Linked DNA regions of Caenorhabditis elegans. The protein of the gene in region 1 interacts with the protein of each later gene in a pairwise test. Each region holds a gene or a part of one and is shown in the gene's direction. Other genes may lie near its edges. The genes, in order: Y47D7A.13, xbx-6 and gsto-3.

Region 1 (3,472 bases):
ATATACTTTCTTTTTTCCTCTCAATATACATAAGCTTACCAAATGCCAAAAACTTGGCAACCGACATATGCCGGTTTCTGAAAATTTAAGTTGCCGAAGCAGTAAAATAGAAAAGAATATGCTGATCCAAATTTCAATACGACCTTCACACAAAAAAAAATAAGACACAAACTGATTTGAATCGACAAATATCCTGTTATACTCTAAAAAAATTGTCCTTGTTATGCAAAATCGGTGGGGGTAGCACACGGAACAAAAGCACTGATAAAGATCAGGGTTTTCCTCAAATTTTTTTTGCCAAATAGCTTTGGCAAACGAAAGGAACAGGATTTTTTCAAGAAGCGGAAGGATTTATTTTCCAATGGCAACGCGAAATATGGGGCTAGAGAAGGTGAACACGGTTGCGTCAAAAACAAAAGATAACGGCAGGTTTCTAGAAAAAATGAAGAGATAGGAGAATGAGGGAGAAAGAGGATAGAAAGTTACGTAATGCTGGAAAGGCAAAAAAACTGCGTAAAACATAGAAAAGGCTTTCACTTATTGGGTTATCAATTTTACTAATATGGTGAAAAATGAAAGGAGAGAAGGTGCAGAAAATCACGATTATTTTCAGAAAAAAAAAATCTTAAATCGGAGTAAATTCGTGATGTGCGAGTTATGACTCAGTGAACCTGAGCCCATCGAGGACAGGACACAATGTATTAAGTCTACCATGCCTGCATTGTGCCTACTACGCTTGGACTGTGCCTACGCGTCTACATTCAAAATTCACCTGAATTCTCTTCACGTTTTTTCACAGATGTAAACCAACTCTGTGAAAGCATCAAAAACTACCAAACACCAGAGTTAGGAGACACTAGGCAGGCAGGTACAAGTTAGGTAGGCAGAACTGAATGCTCGCCTGCCTACGGTGAAAGTCCAAGTGGATATTCTAATATTTTTTGGTTTTTTTTAACTTTTTCGAAAAAAAATCATTTAATTTTTTGCTGTCAAAAAGACACCAAAATCCCGATTTTTCGTCAAAACACAAAAAAAAACTAAAAAATGCCTTGGTAGGCAGGCAGGCATGAGGCAAGAAAATTTCTTGGCAGGCAGGTACAGTTTTGGCGTGCCTGCCTGAAACGTGTCGGCACAAATTTCAAAATTTCTTATTTTACCTAAATTTTGAAGAAAATGAAATCCAAAGAAAGTGAAAAATACAAGTTTTTTAGCAGAAGGCGTGAGGTCGCCTTACCGTCAGGCAGGTGCTTGGACGCCTACATGAACGCCTACAAACAGACCGACGCCGATTTTCTTACGTAATAACCCATAAATGTTGCAAATTCATATATTAAAGTTTCGCGGCGTCACTTAGTGAAACCGGAAGTTCCAATGGTCATTTATAAGCTTTGTGTAATCTACTCTCCTATACTTCTACCAAAATGATTGGCAGATTAATTGGTACTATAGAAACTAATTTCTAAGTTCCACCAAACCTCTTGATACAAAAACTATCCACTTAACATTTGTATACCGTTTGTTTACACATCCAAAACCTCATAAAGGAGGTCTTACACTTGACTTAACCTCCTTCTCGAATTATTCAAGAAAAAAACCTCAATGAGAACAATCACAGAATGGCCGCCAAAACCGGTAATTGAGATAGTTATCTTCCCCACTTGGAAGTACCCGCCCAAAAAAATGAGGTGAAGCTGTGAAGAGGGGAGGGGCTTGGCTCTCTGGGGTCTCTTCGGTAGGTGCGATCTCTCGTTTAGAAAGTGTTACGCAAGGTTTCATGATCCATTGGCACCATATATAAAGCCGATTGGTTCAGACGGAATTATTCAATTTAATACGATTTTCTTTTGTGTATTCTCAGATTTTCGCTACTACTATTTTTTCTCTTTTTTATATGTTTTTTCTTTCATTTTATTGAAATGTATAATTTTTTTTTAAATCTTTTCTTACCGTCTACTTCATTTTCACCCTGCTTATTTTTACAAATGAACTTTGCAGAATGAAGTACATCGTCTTCGTTGCTCTCTTCGGATGCTCTAACGCCTTCCTCTTCAACCTTCTCGGAGGAGGTGGCGGTGGCTGCTGTGCCCCACCACCACCACCACCATGCGGTGGAGGATGCGGAGGAGGTGCTCCAGCTGCCGGAGGTTACGCCGTCGCCCCACAAGCACCAATCGGTGGAGGATACGCTCAACCAGGAGGTGGATACGGAGGAGCTGGAGGATTCGGAGGAGCTTACCAAGCCGCCCCAGCCATCGGAGGAGGAGGCTCATACGCCGGAGCTGGACCAATTGGAGGAGGATTCGGTGGAGCTCAAGGAGGTTACGCCGGAGCTGGACCAATCGGAGGAGGAGCTCAGGGAGGATACGCCGGAGCTGGACCAATCGGAGGAGGAGCTCAGGGAGGATACGCCGGAGCCGGACCAATCGGAGGAGGAGCTCAGGGAGGATACGCTGGACCAATCGGAGGAGGAGCTGGATACCAAGGAGGAGCCCCAGCCCAAGGAGCCGGATACCAACAAGGACCAGCTGTCGGAGGAGGAGCCGGATACCAGCAACAAGCCCCAGCTCAAGGAGCCGGATACCAGCAACAAGCCCCAGCTCAAGGAGCCGGATACCAGCAACAAGCCCCAGCCGCCGTCGTCACTGAGCAACAACAAGTCGGACAAGGATACCAACAACAGCAACAAGCCCCAGTCCAAGAGCAAGCCCCAGCTCCAGTCCAAGAGCAGGCTCCAGCTGCCTCATACGGAGAGCAGGCTCCAGTCCAAGCCCAACAAGAGACTGTCCAACAAACCTTCGAAGCCGCCCCAGCTCAAGCTCAGCCAGCCGCCGAGTACGGAGCCCAGCAGCCAGCTGTTGCCGAGCAAGTCGTTGAGACTTCCGCTTCCGGATACCGCCAGAGATTCCACCTCAAGAAGGCCGCCAAGGCATAGATTCGATGATATATTTCTCTAACTGTTTTTTTTTTGGTTTTATGGTTTTTTCTGTATATTTCTCGTTAATGAGTCAAAATTTGGTCTTTCAATGAACTTTGTTCTCTTGATTTGAGTTTGTATTCTTATAGACTTATGAAAAAAAAACACGGGATAATCATCTGAATCTCGAGGCAGCATGTGAGAAAAATAGCAGGAATTTTTGTTTTAGAACATTGTTATAAAAGTGAAAATTGGTTCAAAGAAAAATATAAATATCAATTTTGAACGGAACTTTTTGTGTTTAAAAATTCAAAAAAAGCAACATTTAAAAAAAGAAAAATCGGAAGATCAAAGTTTCATACATTCAAAGTCAATTATCTCTAAAACTTAAAAATTCACAAGTTTCCACAATTTTTTTCAGTCGTTGGACTGCTTAAAAACTCTCAACTAATGCAATTGCCTATTGATATTTTTAAAAATAACCGAGATATAACTTTTCAAAATAAAGTAATCACAGTAGAAATGGTACGCAAAAACAAAGTTCAAATCGAAATTTGA
Region 2 (4,646 bases), 5.3 Mb from region 1:
TTGGGTGTCGCCCCGCGAACTATTTTTTGACGCATGCGCCTTTAAGTGTACTGTAGAAATTCTGCGATGAATTTTCACGCTTTTTTCGATTTCTCTCTTCATTTCCCTTCTATTGTCTTCCGTAGGGAATCAAAATCATACAAAGTTTTTAAAAAATTAATAAAATTTTGGATTTTGTAATCTGTTTTATCGTCTGGAATTTTTTTAAGCTTAGAAAAACTTAGTAAATTATGTAAAAGTTTCGAGATTGTTAGCATTTAACTTATTGATCATCTCACTATTGTTGATGAAATTTTTTGTTCAAACTTTTGATGTTTTCACTTTCTCCTCATCTCTTCCGTTTTTCTACAGAGATTTCTTGATCTCTCAACGGTGACTCAACATTTTTCATTCTATACAACTGTTCCCTCACTTTAAAAATTTCTATATCTCTATGATATAGTTTTTCTTTCGATTCATGTTCCAGTGTTAGATGTGAAACACTGCTTTTAAGCTTCACTGCTTTTTCAAAAGAGTAGTGGTCTTCGAGCATCAACACATGCGTTTCTCTTGTTTCTCTCCTTTGGCCGAGGTCGTTGTATTTTTTGTTTGACCTGGCGAGTAAAAGAGAGACAACGTTTCATTGCTTTCTCTGTTCCTGTTTTTCATAGATTATCACGTCGTTCTTGTTCCGACAATACAAAAAAGTCACCGTTCAAACTAAAACCTACATTTTTGAATAGATGCTCTATATTGAGAACTACTTAAAACTCTTGTTTTCTGGTCGACATCGATTTTTTTTTGACGAGGCAAACCCCGACCATTGCAAACAATAGAGACGCAGATATCCAAAGCCTTGGTCAGTTTACTGCGTCTCTTCTCTCAACGAGATCTCATCACAATTGCCCGATGCTGCATTCTCGTGAAAGTGAAGAAGACGTGCCATTCTGTTGCGAAATCACACGTCTTCTTCTTCCACTGCATTTTGGTTTTTCTACTTATTTGAAGTCTAGGCATGAATGAGAAAGATAATACCCGTCTCAGTTTTCGAACGAAGAACGTTGAGCGTATTTACTTTCCTATCGACAAATATGAGTACATTCGTTCTTTCTGCTCGAACGCTAAAAATTCGTGCTCTAGCAACACCAGAAAGTACCGGAGTTTGAGTTATTTGTAACTGCATCTGAAAATCTTTCTATAATATTTTGTCTTCTTAAAAATCCGAGCACCAGTATAAAACACACAATTTTAATACTAAATCTGTAGAAGCTCATCTTTTTAAACTAAAATATGACAAATTCTTCATTCCTGAAAACAATCAAATTATTTTCATCTTCTCAACCATTCTAATCCTTCAATCTAGATATGACTTTCCCTCTAAGCCTTAAAATAATCTTATTTCTTCCTATAACTGACGCACATTTCTCTAGCTACTAGAATTTGTCTGAAAACAGACGAGAAATTCCCCTCGTGAGCTGGAGAACCATGTTTCCATGGAAACTCGAGTAATGTGATAAACAACTGGGACTTTTTAAATTGCCATTTCCATGAAATTCTATACTTTTTTGCTTCTATCTCACTTGTTGACTACATTTTATTCTTGTATTTTCGTTTCAATAATATTATTTAATTCCAGATATGTCGTACAATCAACAGCCATACAACCCGGCTTATCAGAATCCCTACCCCAATCAAGGCCCTCCGCCACCAGGATTCAATACAGGCGACGGACAAAATCAAAATCAAGGTGAGAGATTTTTTAAAAACAAAATAAAAAAGTCAGCGATATCAGAAGTTAGACATAAATTAAGAATATTTTAACTTCCAAAATAAATAAGTAAAGAAGATATCGAAACTTTTAGCAACTAGCTCTTCGATCAATAAATTTGATCATTTTTTAATTGTATTTTTGTAATGTGACGTCATTAATCGAAATACCAAAGGAAACCCGAAAAAAAATCGACAAAATTTGTTAATGCGCAAGGTGGATTTTTTTCAAAAATTTTACATTGAAACGTATTAAATTATATTTTCACAACTAACTGTTTTAAAACGATTCAAAACCTCAATATTCTTAAGGTGGAGCCTATTTCTCACCACCGCCACCAATGCACGGAGCTATGTTCAATCAGATGGAAAATGGGCAACACGGTGGTGGAGACAATCCAGATGGAAAGTATTCATTCCAATTTTCTGATAAGACTGTCCGCGCTGCTTTCGTTCGAAAAGTTTTCAGTTTGGTCTTTATCATGGTAAGTAGTACTTTCAAAAAGTTTTAAATCTATTTTCAAAAAATTTTAGCTTTGCATCGTTGCCGCAGTCACTGTTATCCCGTGGGTTCATGATGATACGATGAGAATGGTCCGCAGAAATTCGGCTCTCTACCTTGGGTCCTAGTATGTACATAAATTGAAATCTTGATTAATATTTAATATTTCCAGTGTAATCTTCTTCGTTACCTACTTGTCATTGGTTTGCTGTGAAGGAGTTCGTCGTAAATTCCCAGTTAATTTGATTGTCACTGGAATCTTCGTAAGTTCATTTTAATATAACAAGTTTCCCTTTATCAATCCAAAAATCGTTTTCAGACTCTAGCAACTTCAGTTATGACCATGGTCATTTCAGCTCATCATGATGCTAACGTGGTTCTTCTGGCATTGGCGATCTGCATTGGATGTACGTTCTCCATTGTCATTGTCGCCTCTCAGACGAAATTCGATTTGACTGCGTAAGTTTTTTTTTAAATCAAATCTTTTTTTCAAATGCTGTGCTAAACCTGCAATAAGCGGATTTATACTCTAACAAGCACCAATTTTCTGAAATTTAAGGTACCTAGGTTATTTAGTCGAATTTGAAACTAATTTTTAATATATTAAATATGTTCTGACAAGATGTACGCAGATTAATTTTTGTAAATAGCAAAATTGGCAAAAACTAAACTTAGTTCAGAAATTAGAATGATGACGAATAATTTATAACCACTGATCTTCAAAAAATATATCCGAAATACTAAATTTTCAGCCACATGGGATATATCTTAATCATCTCAATGTGCTTCATGTTCTTCGGACTTGTTGTCGTGATCTGCTCAATGTTCTTCAAGATCAAGTTCTTGATGATGGTATATGCTCTCGGTGGTGCTCTTATCATGATGCTCTACCTCTTCCTCGACGTTCAAATGCTGATGGGAGGAAAGAAATACGAAATCTCACCAGAAGAATATATTTTTGCTTCTGTTCAAATCTTCATTGACATTGTCCAGATGTTCTGGTTCCTTCTCAGTTTGTTCGGATCCAGGTAAGAAATTCATTGGGAAACTTTGAAATTTAGCTAGACATTCTCAATAAACCCTCTGGTTATTTCCAGAAACTGAATCTTCTATTTCTCTATCACATTTCGTGTGGTAAGGCGGTTGAGTTTGTGGTATTTCAAAAGGCACGTTTACTTTTTAGATTTTTTTGTGTCATTGTTCACTAACGCTGTATTAGTAACATTGTGCCAATTTAAATGAATGTGTATTATCGAAAAAATACGATCGCACAAATTTCTCATAATTTTTTTTTGATCTACGCTGTTGACTAGGCTCCTCCCCCAATCTTGTTGCCGCTGTTATTTTGTTGTGGCTGTCTTGTCGAAGGAAGGGGAGGAGCCTAGTCAACAGGGTAGATCAAAAATAAATTATGAGAAATTTGTGCGATCGTATTTTTTCGATAATATGTGAATCATTTGGTTGATAAAAGCAACAATTTTCAGTTTCTATGTTGTGAAAAGCTTTTTATCAACTTGTAAACCTAATTATTGTATTTTTCAGCGACTAAACAACGGCCTTCACCCGACTTCATCGATTCTCGATTCTTCAATTCCTTCTTCTTTTTCTGTTCTATACTAGATTCCATGCCTAATTTACACACTGGTAGTTCACTTTGTTCTTCTTTGCCTGTCCCCTGCTCTGTCCCTCACCCCGAAAAATTTCTAACAAAAAGAAACGAAAACTGCTGTTGTTTAAGATGTCTCGTTCGCTACTTTCCCGCTTAAACTCGTAATTATTTGTGAAATGAAACTTAATATATATTTTTGAATGAAATAAAACATGTATTTACAGCAAACAATAAAACATATAAAAATGTGAAAAGATCTAACGACCTCTTCCAAAGATGTTGAGAAGCATCAGGAAGATATTCAGAATGTCCAAAAAGATTTCCATCGCAGCAAAAATGTAATCTTCTGGTGATAATTCATATTTACGACCACCCATCAGAAGTTGTACATCAATAGCCAAATAGAACATCATTAAAAGAGCAGCAAGTCCAGAATAAACGGAATAAAGGAATTGCCAATTGAATGCCAAAGTGAAGATGAGTGCAAAGATTCCAAATGAGAAAAGAACCATTGAAAGCATGAAAGCGATTCCCATTTTGCTCGTCAAATCTGATTTCGTTTTCATCGAGAAAATAATGACTGATCCACTGCATACTGTGGTGATACATAGACAAATTAAAACTGATTGAACATTATAACAAGCAGTAACAAACATTGTCATGACTGCTGCCGAGAGAGTCTGAAATATACAATAATTTTAGATTTCCTTTTACGAAAATTAACACATGTTTCCAGCAATCCTACCGTAGCCTACCCTATCTCAAAGCACATTAAGAATTCTGAAATAT
Region 3 (5,767 bases), on another chromosome or scaffold:
GAGTCCACCCAGCCTATGAGCATAGAATTGAACCCGGCCTTTATTAATTTTTGCATTAAGAGTGAATGGTTTACTTTGTCAAATGCCTTACTGTAATCAAAAAATACAACATCTACTTGATTATTGAAATTAAAATTTTCTATATAGGAACTTGATATACCCAATTTCTATTAAAAAATTGAATTCGCGCCGAGCAAAATGTGATGTCAATTTCAGTTTTCCAATTTTCTCAATTTTTTTGACCACTAACTAAAATTTTGATACCAAAGGATTTTTGCTCAAATTTCGAAATAATTGCGGTAAAATTGGCTCTAAACACTAGTTTTTGACCTAGCGAATTTTGATGTCAATTTCAATTTATTTACATTTTATTTGGAAATTTTCTTCACTGCGGATCCCTAGCAAAATTTGTTAAACATCACTTTTCCGAGCAATTTGTGATGTCGATTTCCGTGTCTTTACACGGTTTTTGCCTTTTTGCTTAAATTTTTCAAAAATTTCAGTAAACCCCAACCAAAATGAATTTTACTCACAAATTTCGCTCTTCAATTATTTTTTTAGTGAAATTCACAAAATCTGACCTCACCCTAAATTCCCACTGAGCACATTTGGATGTCGATGTTTGTTCAAGTTTTTGGCCAAGTTTTAAACAATTGCAGTCAAATTCAACCAAATCACGTGGTGTCAGTTTGTCCCATTACGGTTTGATCTACAATGCGGGCATTTTTTGCCCAATCAATTGAGAACTCTGCATCACAGCTACCACATTTTTTGTAGATATACGTAGATCAAACGGAAATTAGACACTCTGGCACCACTTGCCAAATCATATGCAAAACTGCTCAATGGTAGAATTTGACAACCCAAATTGCTCATCAAGTTTTTGTGTCATTTTCCGCGCAAACAGGGATTCAAATTTCTGCCATCAAAAACTCATTTTCTACAAAAGAACTACAAATATTATTTCAAAAAGGCGGCAGTGGTGGTCAAAGAACAAACATCTGAACATATTGAAGAAGGTGTCTCTCTCTCTCTCTCTGTCTTTCCCTGCTCACACAAATCTGTGTGTCTCTCTCCAGAAAATAACAACACTTGAGGTTCACGGGAGGACGGGGGGAGCTCCCGCCTGTGCTCCAACTCTCTTGTCATGCCACTTTATGTTGCTCCAGTGTTTTTGTCTCTCTAAATCTCCAGCTAGCTGTTCTTTCATGTTCCCTTAGCCCCAATACCGCCGCCTTTCGATCTTTTGGCTGTTTTTTGGGGGATATAAGAAGTTTCGAGGAGGAAGACTAGATCTATTCATCCTAAAATAAATTTTTTTTCTTTTTTTTTAGGCTTTATCAGACTCTAAAATGCTCGTACGACACCAAATTCCAGATTTCAGTTTTCTATATTTTCGGTCCTATAATACTATATTCAAAAAATTAGCGTCTTCGAAGGAATCTGACATCTAAAAGTTCTATTGGTCTTTTTTCCGGCAAATCGGCAGATTGCCGAAATCAAAAATTTCCGGCAAATTGGCAAAACGGCAAATTGAGAGATTGCCGGAATTGAAAATTTCCGGCACAGAGGCAAACCGGCAAATTGCTGATTTCTCAGAAAAACTGCAATTGCCGAAAATTTTCGGCTAATTGAGGTTTTGCATTTTATTTTTGGCAAATTGCCTGAATTGGAAATTTCTGGCAAACCAGCAATTTGCCAAAAATGAAAATTTCCGGCAAATTGCCGATTTGCCGAATTTGCTAGAAAAAAAATTAATCGGCAAAATTTTACGCATCTATTTTGAAAAGAAAGCAAATTCTATGAAAATATCTAAAGAAAATCTTTTAAAAAAATGCACAGTTTTAAATGTTTCATTCCTTTCAAAAATCCCTCTAACCGCTTCCGGCAAATTAATATCCGGCAAAGGGCAAATCACCAAACCGGCAAATTGCCAATTTGCCGAACAAAAACAACTGAATTATGCTATTAATAATTCCTGGTTCCTGATTTCCAATTTTTGATTATTTCTTACTCACTTCAGTATCGGAAAACGTTCACAACTTTGGAAAGAATTTGATGCCCGTAATTTGCTGAATAAATTTAATTTTTTCAATGTCCAGATGGTCCTACCTGGGAATTGTTCCACGTCGGCGGCACTATGTATGCAATTCCTCACCCAACTAGCAAGTGTAGCAATTGATCAGGCTTATCAGGTACGCATTACATTTTTTTGCTTCAAAATTCAACTCAGCTCGATTTCCAGCCACCCCAGCAGCCAGCCTACAACCCCCACGAAAAACTATTTGTATCATATCGATCAGTTCCACCGCCAGGATCATCTCCATCATCGGCTGCAGTTCCGATTCGATTCAGCTCATATTCAAGTGTCGGCTCAAATATACGTGGTTTAAACTCTCCAACGTTACATCCGGGTAGTATCGAACCTCCGTTGACACCTGGCAATTATCGATTATATAGTATGCGGTTTTGTCCATATGCACAGAGAGTATTGATCTATTTGGCCAAGAAGAATATTCCGTTAGTTTTTTGTTTTGTTATAAAATTTTAGATGTATTGATTTTGAATGTTTTCACGTGGCCTGGTTACAGTTTGATCTATCAAAAATGCGGGAATAAATAATCGTTAAATAATCGATTTTTAGGTAAATTTTAGAGTTTCGGCAAGTTTCTTTCCGATTGCCAAGTTTTCTTACGGAAAAAAACGCCTGAAAAATTGGCAAATTGTGTTGAAAATTATAAAACCAAGAAAAAACACAAAAAATGTCATAAATGACGTCACAGCCTTTTTTTTTGTTGAAAAATTGAAAAAAATTTAGAAAAGTTCTATAAATTATTTCACAGTTTTTTTCGGTTTATTAGGACGTTGTTTTATTATTTAATACAAAAACCCACAGACGGTACCAGAGGTGGGCGGATATTTTTTTCGGATATTTTCTAATAATGAATTTATCAATAAGTATTGATGTAGTTATTCTGGAACAAATGTATCCGAACAAAAAAGTAACTATTAAGCAACATTTTAATATGATAAAACCTAGAAAAATTCTACAAGTTTTCTGTATAAACAATATGCAAGTCCATTATCCGATATCCGTAATATCCGTAATATCCGATATCCGATGTTGCTCGGCTAATAAGTTTTAAGGTCTCGGTAAGGAAAACTTGTGGAATTTCTCTAGGTTTTATCATATTAAAATGTTGCTTAATAGTTACTCTTTGGTTCGGATACATTTCTTCCAGAATAACTACATCAATACTTATTGATAAATTCATTATTAGAAAATATCCGAAAAATATCCGCCCACCTCTGGACGGTACTTCTCCTTCAAATTAAATTTTTTTCCCAGAAAAGTGTAATTTTCGACAAAATTTTTTTGCAGTTTTGACATTTTGGAATTTTTGGAATTATGACATTTTTGAAACTGTCAAAAATCTCAGGAAACATCTAGCATTTTTCTAGAAATTAAAAGATAAAATTGCAGAACGTTTGCCCACCTTTCACATTTTAAAAAATATGAAAAGTTTGCAAATATCCAGTTTTGGAGCAACATTTTTATTCTAATATTTTTTTTTCACCAAATCGACATTTAGTTTTGTTATAAAAGTCTCAAAGCATTCCTAAAATTCTAAAAATTACCAAATTTCAGAGTAGAAGTAGTAAATGTAAATCCGGATAGAAGTCCCAATTGGTACCTTCCCAAGTCACCAATCGGAAGAGTTCCAGCACTTGAAATTAATGGAAAAGTTGTGTGGGAATCGAATGTCATTGTTGAATACCTTGATGAACTATTCCCAACTAACACTATTTTGCCACGAGATGCATATGAGAAAGCTCACCAGAAAATTCTAGTGGAACGATTGTCGCCGGTTAGTTTTTGAAACTTTGTTCCTCAAAAATCTATGGAAATCCTAATTTTCCGGTCGGAAATGTTTTAAACACATTTTTTTTTCTTAAAGTTTTGGAACGTTATATTTTCTTCTTTTAAATTTGATTATTCACATTGGAAAGTTTTTTTTCAAAATTTCTACGATTTTTTTCTTACAGTTTTTTGACACTTCACAAACTTTCCTAAAGTTTCCAGACATTTTTCAACAAATTTCATGATTTTTTAAAGTTTTAAGAACTTTCCAGAAGTTTCCACACGTTTATTCAAACTTCTAAAAGTTTTCGAAGATTTTTGGAATTTTCCACAACTTTCTAATACTTTTCTGAAGTTTATTGAACGTTATCTGAAATTACTGTAGTCCTACAGTATTCCTACAGTACGAATACAATAACAGGCGGAAAAAATGTCCGGCAAAACGGAAAACTGCCGGAATTGGAAATTTCCCGCAAATCGTGGTTTTGCCTTTTTTTGGAATTTTTAGAAAAAAAATTTTCCGGCAAACCGGCAAATTGCCAGAAATGAAATTTCCGGCAAACCAGCAAATTACCGGAAATGATATTTTCTGGCAAATCGGCAAACCGGCAAACGGCAAGTTTGCCGAACGGCAGTTGCCAACAATCCCCTGCTACAAAGTACACCTTTTTTTCCTTATAAAAAGTCCTTATAAAAATTTTTTGAAATTTTTTTCTTGTTCTTACATTTTGATACTCTTATTGTCGATATTTGGAAAAACTTCGATGAAAAAAAACTGAAACTTTTTTTTTGAAAAACAAAGGAAAATTCAACTTTGATAGTGAGTTCGAAACATTCGATTTGTTTTTTTTTCTATATTTCCTAGTTTTCTAAAAGCTACCCATTTCAGATAATGAACGCGTTATTCGAATTCTACGGTAGTTCCAATAATCCACAGGCTCAACGACAAAACGACATGAATGTTCACAGTGCGCTAAGGAATTCGGAGAATTTGCTCAGAGACACTTTTTACGGAGGTAATTTTTGAAAAATTGCCGATTTGCCGATCTGCCGGAAATTTTCAATTCCGACAGTTTTGGCCGGTTTGCCAATAGCCGGAGTAAATCGTTTTTCGTCCACCCCTAATTCTATCCACAGTTACAAGCCGGGAGTGCATCAAATAGCCACTAAATTTTTTACATTTCCAGGCCGTCAACCAGGATACGCCGACTATTTGATGTGGCCATTCTTGGAACGCCTCCAACTGCTCACAATGTCTCCAAACTCACAATTCCGATATTTCCCAGGACTTCATTACCCGAAAATTGGAGCATATATTGCTAGAATGCAGAATCAGCCAGAGGTATTAGGTTTTTGCAAACACGATTTTTTTTTGAAAAAAACTGGGGAAAAAATATGGTGAAGTTCTGAAAAATCTAATTCCAGATAAAATTCTCATCCCGCCCGCTGACCCATCACAAAGCCTACCTGGATAGTTTTTCAATGGGTGTGCCGAATTATGATTTTGGCATTTATGGGAAAAATTGAACAAAATTTGTAACGAACGTCGTATTTATATAATTATAATAAAGTATTTTTTGAAAAAAAAAACTCTCGATTTTTGGTTAACTAACTCTAAATGTTTGCATGAATTTTCTAACATTTTCCAAAATGTTCAGACAAAGGCAAAACCATAACGCGTAAAGGCGCCCCCTTTAAAGCTGTAGAAGTGGAAAAAACTGCACTGTACGTCATTAAAAAAAATTATCGACTTTGAGAGTGGCCATCTGGGTGTACTCCCATTTTGTAACTTTTTTTTTTTGGTTTTTAGCTAATTTTTCGATTCTTCCAACTACAACTAGTAATTTAAAGACTTTTTTAAGTTTGAAAATTTTCAATTCTGTTTCAAGAGTGTCCATTGAGATG

What was found.
Region 2: the proteins of Y47D7A.13 (region 1) and xbx-6 interact in a two-hybrid assay, tested with the Caenorhabditis elegans proteins (one large-scale study listed by BioGRID).
Region 3: the proteins of Y47D7A.13 (region 1) and gsto-3 interact in a two-hybrid assay, tested with the Caenorhabditis elegans proteins (one large-scale study listed by BioGRID).

Annotation. Positions count from the first base shown.
Region 1 is NC_003283.11:4,434,452-4,437,923, reverse strand, and holds Y47D7A.13 (Prion-like-(Q/N-rich)-domain-bearing protein), read left to right. Parts: upstream 1-1,996; coding exon 1,997-2,932; downstream 2,933-3,472.
Region 2 is NC_003283.11:9,703,743-9,708,388, forward strand, and holds xbx-6 (Protein lifeguard 1-like), read left to right. Parts: upstream 1-1,613; 5' UTR 1,614-1,617; coding exon 1,618-1,726; intron 1,727-2,058; coding exon 2,059-2,231; intron 2,232-2,280; coding exon 2,281-2,375; intron 2,376-2,420; coding exon 2,421-2,511; intron 2,512-2,567; coding exon 2,568-2,707; intron 2,708-3,000; coding exon 3,001-3,276; exon of another isoform or gene 3,277-3,345; coding exon 3,346-3,352; 3' UTR 3,353-3,382; exon of another isoform or gene 3,383-3,598; intron 3,599-3,790; coding exon of another isoform or gene 3,791-3,797; 3' UTR 3,798-4,085; downstream 4,086-4,646. Other genes in the region: tag-120 (Transmembrane BAX inhibitor motif-containing protein 4), read right to left, coding at 4,115-4,537.
Region 3 is NC_003281.10:377,634-383,400, reverse strand, and holds gsto-3 (Glutathione-dependent dehydroascorbate reductase), read left to right. Parts: upstream 1-2,102; coding exon 2,103-2,195; intron 2,196-2,245; coding exon 2,246-2,520; intron 2,521-3,649; coding exon 3,650-3,869; intron 3,870-4,751; coding exon 4,752-4,878; intron 4,879-5,049; coding exon 5,050-5,264; downstream 5,265-5,767. Other genes in the region: K10F12.7 (Ovule protein), read left to right, coding at 831-1,220.